3 linked regions of the Saccharomyces cerevisiae S288C genome follow. The main gene of each other region encodes a partner of the protein of the gene in region 3 in a complex. Each region holds a gene or a part of one and is shown on either strand. Other genes may lie near its edges.

Region 1 (3,425 bases), on a different chromosome or scaffold from region 3:
ACCGTTCTGGATCTGGACAATAAAAAATCGAATGATGTCGTTACACGTTCTGAATTGATTGTGGTATCTTCATTAGTTGATAAGCCGCCAAACCTGGGAGGTATTTGTAGGTTATGTGATGTTTTAGGTGTGGGACTGCTTACTGTACAAGACATCAAAGTCAAAAACCATCCTCAATTTAAAAATGTTGCTGTGACTGCTGATAGATGGATGCCCATGGAGGAAGTTGCCCTAGATGAGATTGCAAGTTTCATGAAAGAGAAAAAGAAGGAAGGGTACACATTAATTGGGCTAGAGCAAACGGATAAATCAGTGAAGCTAGACAACAATTTCCAATTCCCTAAAAAATCATTGATCTTGCTAGGAACCGAAGCATTCGGTATTCCGGGGACTTTGTTAAGCGAATTGGATTTATGTTTAGAGATTCAACAATTTGGTGTGATCAGATCAATGAATATTCAAACGGCAACCGCAGTTATCGTTCATTCCTATACAGTTCAACACATGTAAGAATCAGGTTTCATTCCCACTTTTGTTAACCATGAAGTTTTTAGTATGTAAACTAATTTGTCTTTTTATCTAATTGTGACTATATTTTTATAAATTCTCCAGTGATCGTACTACGTCGGGGGCGTATTTCTCCACCATTGCAAGACCTTGCTTCAACAAATGAGGTTTAAAGCTTTTAACGTTTGAATCATTCAATGCTACTGATCTGATAGGTGATGTAATCTTACCATTAGACCAGGAAATGATTAGGCCATTATTGGCCACTTCGCTTTCGTTGGCTGCAGGGTCCAATAGCATATTGTTGCCTACAACGGCCAATATAAACACTAAAGGCGGATTAATGTCAAGCTTAACCATGTCGTAATCATGAAACGTAGGAAGTTCTTCCACCTCTAAGTCGTCAAAAGCTGAAATAAGTTTCGGTAGGTATGTGGAGTTCAACGCTGAATAAATAGCAAAGGATATTAAAGAAACTGGGTGTGAATGTGATGAAATGACCAGAACATCGACAAATATTTTGAAGCTGTACTTTTTTGTCAATTGCAACTTTGAGGAATCTACTCCGCTACCAGACTTCAAAACCTTGTTCAGTAAAGAAGTGATTGTCTCTACTACCAGCGCGTCATCTCTTTGGCCTGCGATATCTACATCGACCTGAAGTAGTTCATTCTCCACATGATGATCCACAACTTTGGACTTAATGCTCACGATACATTCACTTCCATCACTAGCTATAATTCTGGACGATCCATTGGAACTTGGTAGGAAGTCAGTAAATATTTCTATAGGTCTGAATTGATGAGGTAGTCTTCCATCGGGCCTAATTGAAGGCGTGCTTGCTAGTGAATCGTATAGGTACGACTTTTCGGCGACCGAAAGAGACATAAATGATTATTTCAACAGAATCTCAAACTGTCGTTGTGCTAGTCAAAAAGAATGCCTTTTGCCGTCTACAGACTATTAGTATCATTGTACTCCTTCACCATATAAGCTCTACGTTTCTTTTTTCTGAATATTAGAAAAAAATTTCGCCAACTAGGGTTCAAAATAATAGACTAGGGCACGGAAGAAAAGCACACCCTAGGGCTTTCGGAGATAAATTATTAATAGCGAGTTTTTTTTGTATTTACTTATTTTATTATTTCTTTAAGATATCTAGTAGTAAGGATAGAACGGGTAGATAGAATAGACAAATGGAGTTATTGAAATATTTATACGAAGAGATAGAACAGAGAGACAAAGAGTATGACGTGAAAATGATGCGCAGTAAAACTAAATCCCGTCTCTTAAATGAATATGCTGTTTGGTGTCACGACGTCCACATTTGAATTGTCCATGTCAACGTCAGGGCCCTTGTTGGTGTTGTCCTTTGCCTCTACCTCGTGCTTACTCTTGCCATGGCCCGTCTTTCTATATACCGTTTCTTGCTCCAATGCGTCCACTCTCTCATTGTAATTGTTTAGCACAATTTCGTTCTCCCTGACAGAGTCCTTGTACAGCGCCAGGTCTCCCGAATCAATGTTCTCCAAGTCGTCGCTGTCGTCAGCTTCAAGACGGTCGTCAGCACCCTCCAACTTAGCTATGTATTTACCCAAGCGGGCGTTAGACCTCTGCAAATGATTGATACTGTTCTCAATTTCTGTTTTAATCTGTGCCAACTCCATGTCGGACATGCCGCTTATCGCCGTCTTAAATTCTTCGATCTGGATTGGTCTTCTGATACCGCCTGCTGAGCACATTATGTTACTTGTAGTAGTTATTATGTTTTGATTTGCTTTATGTTTTATAAAGATCTTACCCCTCTTTTTGTCAAGAGAAATAAGCTTCTGAAGTATTGTTTTCCTGGTGAAAAGTGTCTTATTTATATGGAGAAGGGATATTCGGCCTCGGTTTTAGGGGAGGAGCTGAAGAGTTGTCCCGCTCGAAAAAGACCCGTAAGCGCATTTATCGAACTACGAAGTAAAATGGACTTTCGTAGGTGTGGACAATAGTAAATTGCAAGTCAATCCCGGGATGACGTCAAGATAGACAGTCAATCTGTCACAGAGGAATGCTTGCTAATCCAGGAGCTGGCGAGCTGGCTAGCTGTGGAGACTATTCCACCATGGTACACACTAGGATCCTCGATCTTGGTGAGCCATGAGTAGAACTTGTTTGGTTCCACCCCTCCGGTTGCCATGTTTATATCTTCCTCAGCAAACTGTTTATCTTGCATTGGTGAGGCGATTGGGTCATCTCTTTGGAAATGGGCGGTAACAAGGTGGTCAACCACCGGCCAGCCGTAAGCGTTGGAAAACCTTCTTCTTACGATGATGTTATTGTGGGCATCTGGTTTCAGCAATACCACGACTTTCCTCCAATGCATCCCCTTGTGCCAGCGGCGTGCTATGATTTCCTCCATCTCTTTTCTCGTCTTCCTCGTTTCGCCTTCCTTGGCTGCTGTTCCTTCATAAAGTGTTGGTGATGGAGGCGGTAAATTCTTTTCTGTGTAGATCTTATCATGTATGATTGTTGCGACCCTTGCATCGGGATCTGAGAAGAACTTTGCGTCGGGGCATGGTGATAGAAGCACAGACTTCATAGATTTGATGACGGAAGCATTCATCAAGCGTTTAGATTTCTTGTCGCAGTTATTTTCCTTGCTCTTCCAAAACGTGTTCCATGACGATGCATTGATTCCATCATCATCATTAGCAACATCGCTATGATTTGGAAGTTCCCCAATAGGACTTACTTCAGGCTGGAAGAGAGGATCACAAGGTGCCGTAGTTTGACCTCCCAGTTTCTGAAGTAATTGAGAGTAGTCCAAAAAAAGTAAAGAAGAGGAGTACAAGGGAACTATTCCGTCGTTGACGGCATTAGCATAAAGTGTTCTTCTTTTGAATCGAGCAAGCACACTGATTAAGGATTCCTCG
Region 2 (3,276 bases), on a different chromosome or scaffold from region 3:
TGCCAATGATTTGGCAGCGCGCAGTGCATCTTTCAAAAGTGAAAACAGAACAGTATCTCAAGGCGAAATGACAAGCGTCCATGAACCCAGTACTGAAGAAATGGCGAAATTGGGGCAGCAGAATAACTTACCGAAATTAGATATGAATAAACTACTGAACAGTAAGACTTCGCACGCCGGTAAGATAGAACAGTTGAGAAATTATAAGCGTGAGCTAGATGAATATGATACGGGGATACAAACATGGATAAATTATACGCTAAAATCATCCTCTAATAAGGATAAGGATTTCATAGCTGAGGAGTATAAGCAGCATAGTCACGTTAGGGAAGCATATGCGAACGCGGACGATTTGAGTAAGAAGCATACTGTCATTAACACGGTTGCTAGTGTCAACCAAAATGTAACGCACTTAAGGAGAAAAGTTTTCCAGCATTCTATGAAACCAAAGGATTTATTCGCATCAATAGGTAAGAAAAAACTGTAAGCGTTTTGCTTTACGGTAGAAACACGAAAATGTAAATGCGTTCAATTTTCAATTTTACTGTTTTTTATGTACTTTTATATAAACAGTGGCAATTAATGGCGTTTTTTATTCTACCTAGCAGAGGCGTTACTGACTCTTTTCTGAGCATGTTTCCTCAGTTCTTCATCCATCAAATCTCTTACCCTATGAGCACCTGCGATGCCGATGGCAAGAACGTTCTCTAACCTATCTAACGGAATTTTGTCTTCCACCAATAAAAGAGAAAGTTTTTCTGACTTCCCTACCACACCTAGTGTCACTGTACTCATAGCATTTTCTTCTAATGAATTGGTATCTAATAATGGGGTAGTATCGTACAGCCCGACGGATATACCACTTATGTAATCGAACATTGATATACCGGCATCTATTAAAGCGAGGGTAATACCGTTGATTAAAGATCCCATAATACCGCCATCTTGCTCAAGGACATGGATCTCGATATCGATAACTGTTCTGGGGTAGATATTCAGCATGACATTCTTCTCAAACATCCTCACCAGGGAGGTTTGTATCTCAAGAACACGCCTTTCATTCTTGTGGCTTGATTTACTTCTTTCGAATTTGGAGAATTTTGTAATGTTTACCGATACGTTCAATAAAGCCTTTGAGGTATCCATTTGAGATTTCAATCTTGGCTCTTTTGGACCTTTAACAAGAGTGATAATTTTGTTGTTACCTTGTTCCATGTAGGATGAACCGTCTGCAGCGTGCGGATGTGTGTTGATGGAACTTTCAAAACGGCGGAGTTCATTCCATCGACGTCCATCGAGACGTAGCCCTTCTGGCGAGTATATTTCTAGTCTTGACATATGATGATCCTGCTGTAGTTATGGCACTAAAGTTTTTTTGTAAATCTTTTTATATGTTAATAGATTTTACCAGTGGGACCCTGGAAAGAAAATATGTGTAAATGATGTTTTCTTTTGGATGATGTTCATTGCACAATGGTTCGCAATGTCATTCATTCATCCATTTCTTCTAGCTTTTCAATTATTAATGCCTTAAAATTTTTCAATTTCACCGCGTTACCCGAAGATGTAAATGTACCTACTCAAATAAAAGGTTCCTTGCTGGTTGGCTTTCGTAGCTAAATTGAGTGCACGTTACAAGATTATAAATGCGTTTATATATATATATTCCAGTGAATGATCTACTTTTGCTTAAGCGGCAGAATTGCAAATCTTAATTTTTCTTTTTTGTTTATGTTTTATTTCCTTGTGACAAATAAAATTTTTTTCTCTTCTGAATTTTTAAAACTAAAGAACAAAATATTAAAATAAACAAACAATTCTCCACTTTTTCTTCTTTTGGTATAGAAACTGATAGAAATGTCCTAGACCCTTAATAAGCAAAACACTCATCATTATAACGGGAAAAAATTTGAAGCAAGCTCAAAAGAGATATATATATCATCCAGCATAGACTACTATTAATTTCTATCATAATTGCAATAAAAAAGGAAATATTTAGGGGATCAAGACCATTATTCCATCAGAATGGAAAAAAGTTTAAAAGATCACGGAGATTTTGTTCTTCTGAGCTTCTGCTGTCCTTGAAAACAAATTATTCCGCTGGCCGCCCCAAACAAAAACAACCCCGATTTAATAACATTGTCACAGTATTAGAAATTTTCTTTTTACAAATTACCATTTCCAGCTTACTACTTCCTATAATCCTCAATCTTCAGCAAGCGACGCAGGGAATAGCCGCTGAGGTGCATAACTGTCACTTTTCAATTCGGCCAATGCAATCTCAGGCGGACGAATAAGGGGGCCCTCTCGAGAAAAACAAAAGGAGGATGAGATTAGTACTTTAATGTTGTGTTCAGTAATTCAGAGACAGACAAGAGAGGTTTCCAACACAATGTCTTTAGACTCATACTATCTTGGGTTTGATCTTTCGACCCAACAACTGAAATGTCTCGCCATTAACCAGGACCTAAAAATTGTCCATTCAGAAACAGTGGAATTTGAAAAGGATCTTCCGCATTATCACACAAAGAAGGGTGTCTATATACACGGCGACACTATCGAATGTCCCGTAGCCATGTGGTTAGAGGCTCTAGATCTGGTTCTCTCGAAATATCGCGAGGCTAAATTTCCATTGAACAAAGTTATGGCCGTCTCAGGGTCCTGCCAGCAGCACGGGTCTGTCTACTGGTCCTCCCAAGCCGAATCTCTGTTAGAGCAATTGAATAAGAAACCGGAAAAAGATTTATTGCACTACGTGAGCTCTGTAGCATTTGCAAGGCAAACCGCCCCCAATTGGCAAGACCACAGTACTGCAAAGCAATGTCAAGAGTTTGAAGAGTGCATAGGTGGGCCTGAAAAAATGGCTCAATTAACAGGGTCCAGAGCCCATTTTAGATTTACTGGTCCTCAAATTCTGAAAATTGCACAATTAGAACCAGAAGCTTACGAAAAAACAAAGACCATTTCTTTAGTGTCTAATTTTTTGACTTCTATCTTAGTGGGCCATCTTGTTGAATTAGAGGAGGCAGATGCCTGTGGTATGAACCTTTATGATATACGTGAAAGAAAATTCAGTGATGAGCTACTACATCTAATTGATAGTTCTTCTAAGGATAAAACTATCAGACAAAAATTAATGAGAGCACCCATGAAAAATTTGATAGCGGGTACCATCTGTAAATATTTTATTGAGAAGTACGGTTTCAATACAAACTGCAAGGTCTCTCCCATGACTGGGGATAATTTAGCCACTATATGTTCTTTACCCCTGCGGAA
Region 3 (3,242 bases):
ACTATCTTTTTATCCTGTGGCGTTTGTTCAATGATGGAGTTCAATCTTGACCTGATGGCAAATAACCTCAACCAATAACCTCTGTTAATACAGGGAGATCTTTTAATTTTCTTAGGAACAAAGAATTTAAAATATTCCAACAGTTTATTATTCTTATCCATTTGGAAATTATTAGCCGAACTCAGTTTTGGCAAATACAATAACTCTACCGATCTTTTAGAAGCAATTGAGGAGTTATTTGTGCCTTGAATCGCCAAATCAGCGTACTTTTTACGTCTTTCTTGTTTGACATTCTTGTTCGTTTGCTTTATAGTGGTCAGATTCTTCATCGTATTAGATATGTGCACTATAGTTGTCGAAATTTTATGGCCATATGTTAGATGTGATGAGATGAGATGAGATGAAACTTTTTTTCCTTCGCTTTTTCAAAGGACATTAAAAAAGGACGTGAAATATTGATGATATCTATGTGTTTATATATTTTAATTATACATGGTAGTCTACTCCTCCTTGACCGTAAGTATTTCTTTAAACTGTCTTTTTGCTATATCCTTGAACGCTGCCGTGTCGTTTTTTTGACAACACTCCATTATGGTTCTATAACAAGCTAAAGTGTTAGATAATTCCTCGCACTTAACCCAGATCTTCCCATTGAGACCAATGGCGACTTCAAACTTGGTATGTGCAGCCAACACTTTTAATAACGGGAAGTCATTATTGAAAAGCAACTGGCGTGCGAAATTCAAATTCACGTCAATGATCATACCATCTTCCAATATCCCGAAACCAGCATCGCGTCCTGTAGTTGAGTCAAAACATTCTATTTCGGCTTCTAGTTCCTTTTCTGCGGTACAAACTCTCGCATACACTAGATCTCCCACTTGCAAAGTTGGCCTGTTTTTCTTTGAAGCATTGGGAAAAGCCATATACGATAGTGAAACACTGGAGGAGAAATTTTGCAACGAAACCTTATAGCTATCTGAAAATGTCCCTATAATGACACCGATTACAAAATCGTTTACAGATGGAATGTATCTCTTACTAGAATAGTCTATATATGCGGTCTGAACACCACTCTTACCCTTAGCGGAAACATGCAAAACACCTGTATTAACAGGTCGTATTTCTTGAGTATTGGGGTCACAATATATGCCAGGGCCCAGTTTAACAGGTGTAGTAGGGTCTACAGGAAAGCTATCACCAGGGAATATGAACGTAGACATCTTGTATGCTCTTGGTTAGTCGAAATGCTGGAGATGAGCTGCTGAAGCATCCGTTTGTGCTGTTGGTTTAATATGCTTCTCTAAACCAAAAAATTTCAGCCGATCAGGTCCGGGTCACACCACTACCCTTACTAGTAAACAATGATGGCTTTCATTAAGGTAACTTTAAGTGAGGTGGATGGAACTAGTTTCCACGAAACTTCATCGAAGAGGTCTGGGGTTCTATGACGTATAATTAAAACTCTGGGAGGTTTTCGGAGGTTCCCGTAGGTCAATTCTTAAGGCTCTATGACATATTCTGGGAGCGGAGATATTTTCGGAGGTCCCCGTTAATAAGAGAAAAGTAGCCATATAAAAGAGAACAATGAAATATTGCCCCAGAGAGTGGGTTCAAAAGCATGAAAAGGAACAGTATAACGCAGTATAACGCAGTATAACGCAGTATAACGCAGTATGGCAGTTAAAGGATTAGGCAAACCAGATCAAGTTTATGACGGTTCCAAAATCAGGGTCGGTATCATTCATGCCCGTTGGAACCGTGTCATTATTGACGCTCTTGTGAAAGGTGCTATTGAAAGAATGGCTTCCCTTGGTGTCGAGGAAAATAACATAATAATTGAAACTGTTCCTGGATCCTATGAATTACCTTGGGGGACAAAAAGGTTTGTTGACAGACAAGCGAAGTTGGGAAAGCCGCTAGATGTTGTAATTCCTATTGGTGTACTTATCAAAGGTAGTACAATGCACTTTGAATACATTTCAGATTCCACCACTCACGCATTGATGAACTTACAAGAAAAAGTCGACATGCCCGTCATTTTTGGCCTCTTAACTTGCATGACTGAAGAACAAGCCCTGGCCAGAGCTGGCATCGATGAAGCGCACTCCATGCACAACCATGGTGAAGATTGGGGTGCTGCAGCAGTGGAAATGGCTGTTAAGTTCGGTAAAAATGCTTTTTGAATAAGCGCAGAGAAATCTATACTATATATGTATATATACTCACTATAGAAGAAGCCCGCTCTTTGATTGTTTCCTCTTACGGTGCTTCAATGCATCTTTCATTTTGCGCCTCATATCACGGGTCCAATTACCTCTGTTAGCCCAGAACTCCTCATCCCAGTTCGATAGCATTGTTTCTCTTCCAGGAGCCCTTACTTTACTCAACTGTGTTTGTCCTACTAAAAATGGCGATTGCAAATGAGGGAAAAACAAGAAATTTTTGTTATCTTTATCTCTAGATACATGTGGTACGGGAGCCGATGTCAAACCTAGGGTGTCAGATGATTTACTTACTTCTTCCTCCAGTTGGTTCACATCAACATCTTTCGCATGATCAATATCATTATCAGAATCTTCAATCAATTTGAATTGTGATACAGGTTCTGCCTCGTTGGGGTTGAATAGGTTTCTTAACGTCTCAGTGTTGCTTATTGTACCTTGACCAATTTCCTTGGTGAAAGTCGGAATAAATTCATTATCCTCCTGCCCGTCGCCCTCGTCCTGTTCTTTCCTTTCCTCTGGTTTTTCTTGTGGTAGGGTGCTCTGGTCCTTCGTCTTATTAACATTCTCGTATTCGGGAGCGTTTACTTCTTTTTCTTCTTCTTCTTCTTCTTCTTCCTCTCCTTTACGTTGCTCTGTCAGAAGTTCCTCGTCCGAATCATTCAACGTCATTGGCTTATCGAAGTCAAAGTCCTTTAATAGGTCATTAAGAATAACATTATTTTTCTCCTTCTCCTCTTCTGACATATTCTCATCGCTGTCCATCTCTCCACTGCAAACGTTTTCATCTTTTGACACTGTTAACTGTTTCAGCCCATTTTTGAATCGAACAGTTTTAACAGCACGACTGTAATCCAATCTATCGACAATGTGGTTGTATCCGTTTTTCCAGAAATTATTTGTAAACTTGTACACAAGGTCATTCAATTCTTTGTTCCTTTCATAACCCCATAATTTAGTCTTATAGCATTTGTAAACTTTCAATGAACCATTGACATTGATCCTGAATGTAATGTT

Evidence for each region. Proteins that work in one complex are often made in the same cells at the same time.
Region 1: RRP40 (region 3) and RRP42 share a complex: the UniProt entries of both Saccharomyces cerevisiae proteins name them as parts of the RNA exosome complex.
Region 2: RRP40 (region 3) and SKI6 share a complex: the UniProt entries of both Saccharomyces cerevisiae proteins name them as parts of the RNA exosome complex.

Annotation. Positions count from the first base shown.
Region 1 is NC_001136.10:262,716-266,140, forward strand, and holds RRP42 (exosome non-catalytic core subunit RRP42), read right to left. Parts: upstream 1,396-3,425; coding exon 598-1,395; downstream 1-597. Other genes in the region: TRM3 (tRNA (guanosine(18)-2'-O)-methyltransferase), read left to right, coding at 1-510; TMA17 (Tma17p), read right to left, coding at 1,797-2,249; YDL109C (putative lipase), read right to left, coding at 2,543-3,425. UniProt on the Saccharomyces cerevisiae protein: Non-catalytic component of the RNA exosome complex which has 3'->5' exoribonuclease activity and participates in a multitude of cellular RNA processing and degradation events.
Region 2 is NC_001139.9:886,944-890,219, reverse strand, and holds SKI6 (exosome non-catalytic core subunit SKI6), read right to left. Parts: upstream 1,339-3,276; coding exon 598-1,338; downstream 1-597. Other genes in the region: FYV8 (Fyv8p), read left to right, coding at 1-487; XKS1 (xylulokinase), read left to right, coding at 2,345-3,276. UniProt on the Saccharomyces cerevisiae protein: Non-catalytic component of the RNA exosome complex which has 3'->5' exoribonuclease activity and participates in a multitude of cellular RNA processing and degradation events.
Region 3 is NC_001147.6:53,539-56,780, reverse strand, and holds RRP40 (exosome non-catalytic core subunit RRP40), read right to left. Parts: upstream 1,224-3,242; coding exon 501-1,223; downstream 1-500. Other genes in the region: tRNA methyltransferase PPM2, read right to left, coding at 1-329; lumazine synthase RIB4, read left to right, coding at 1,677-2,186; NOP8 (Nop8p), read right to left, coding at 2,229-3,242. UniProt on the Saccharomyces cerevisiae protein: Non-catalytic component of the RNA exosome complex which has 3'->5' exoribonuclease activity and participates in a multitude of cellular RNA processing and degradation events.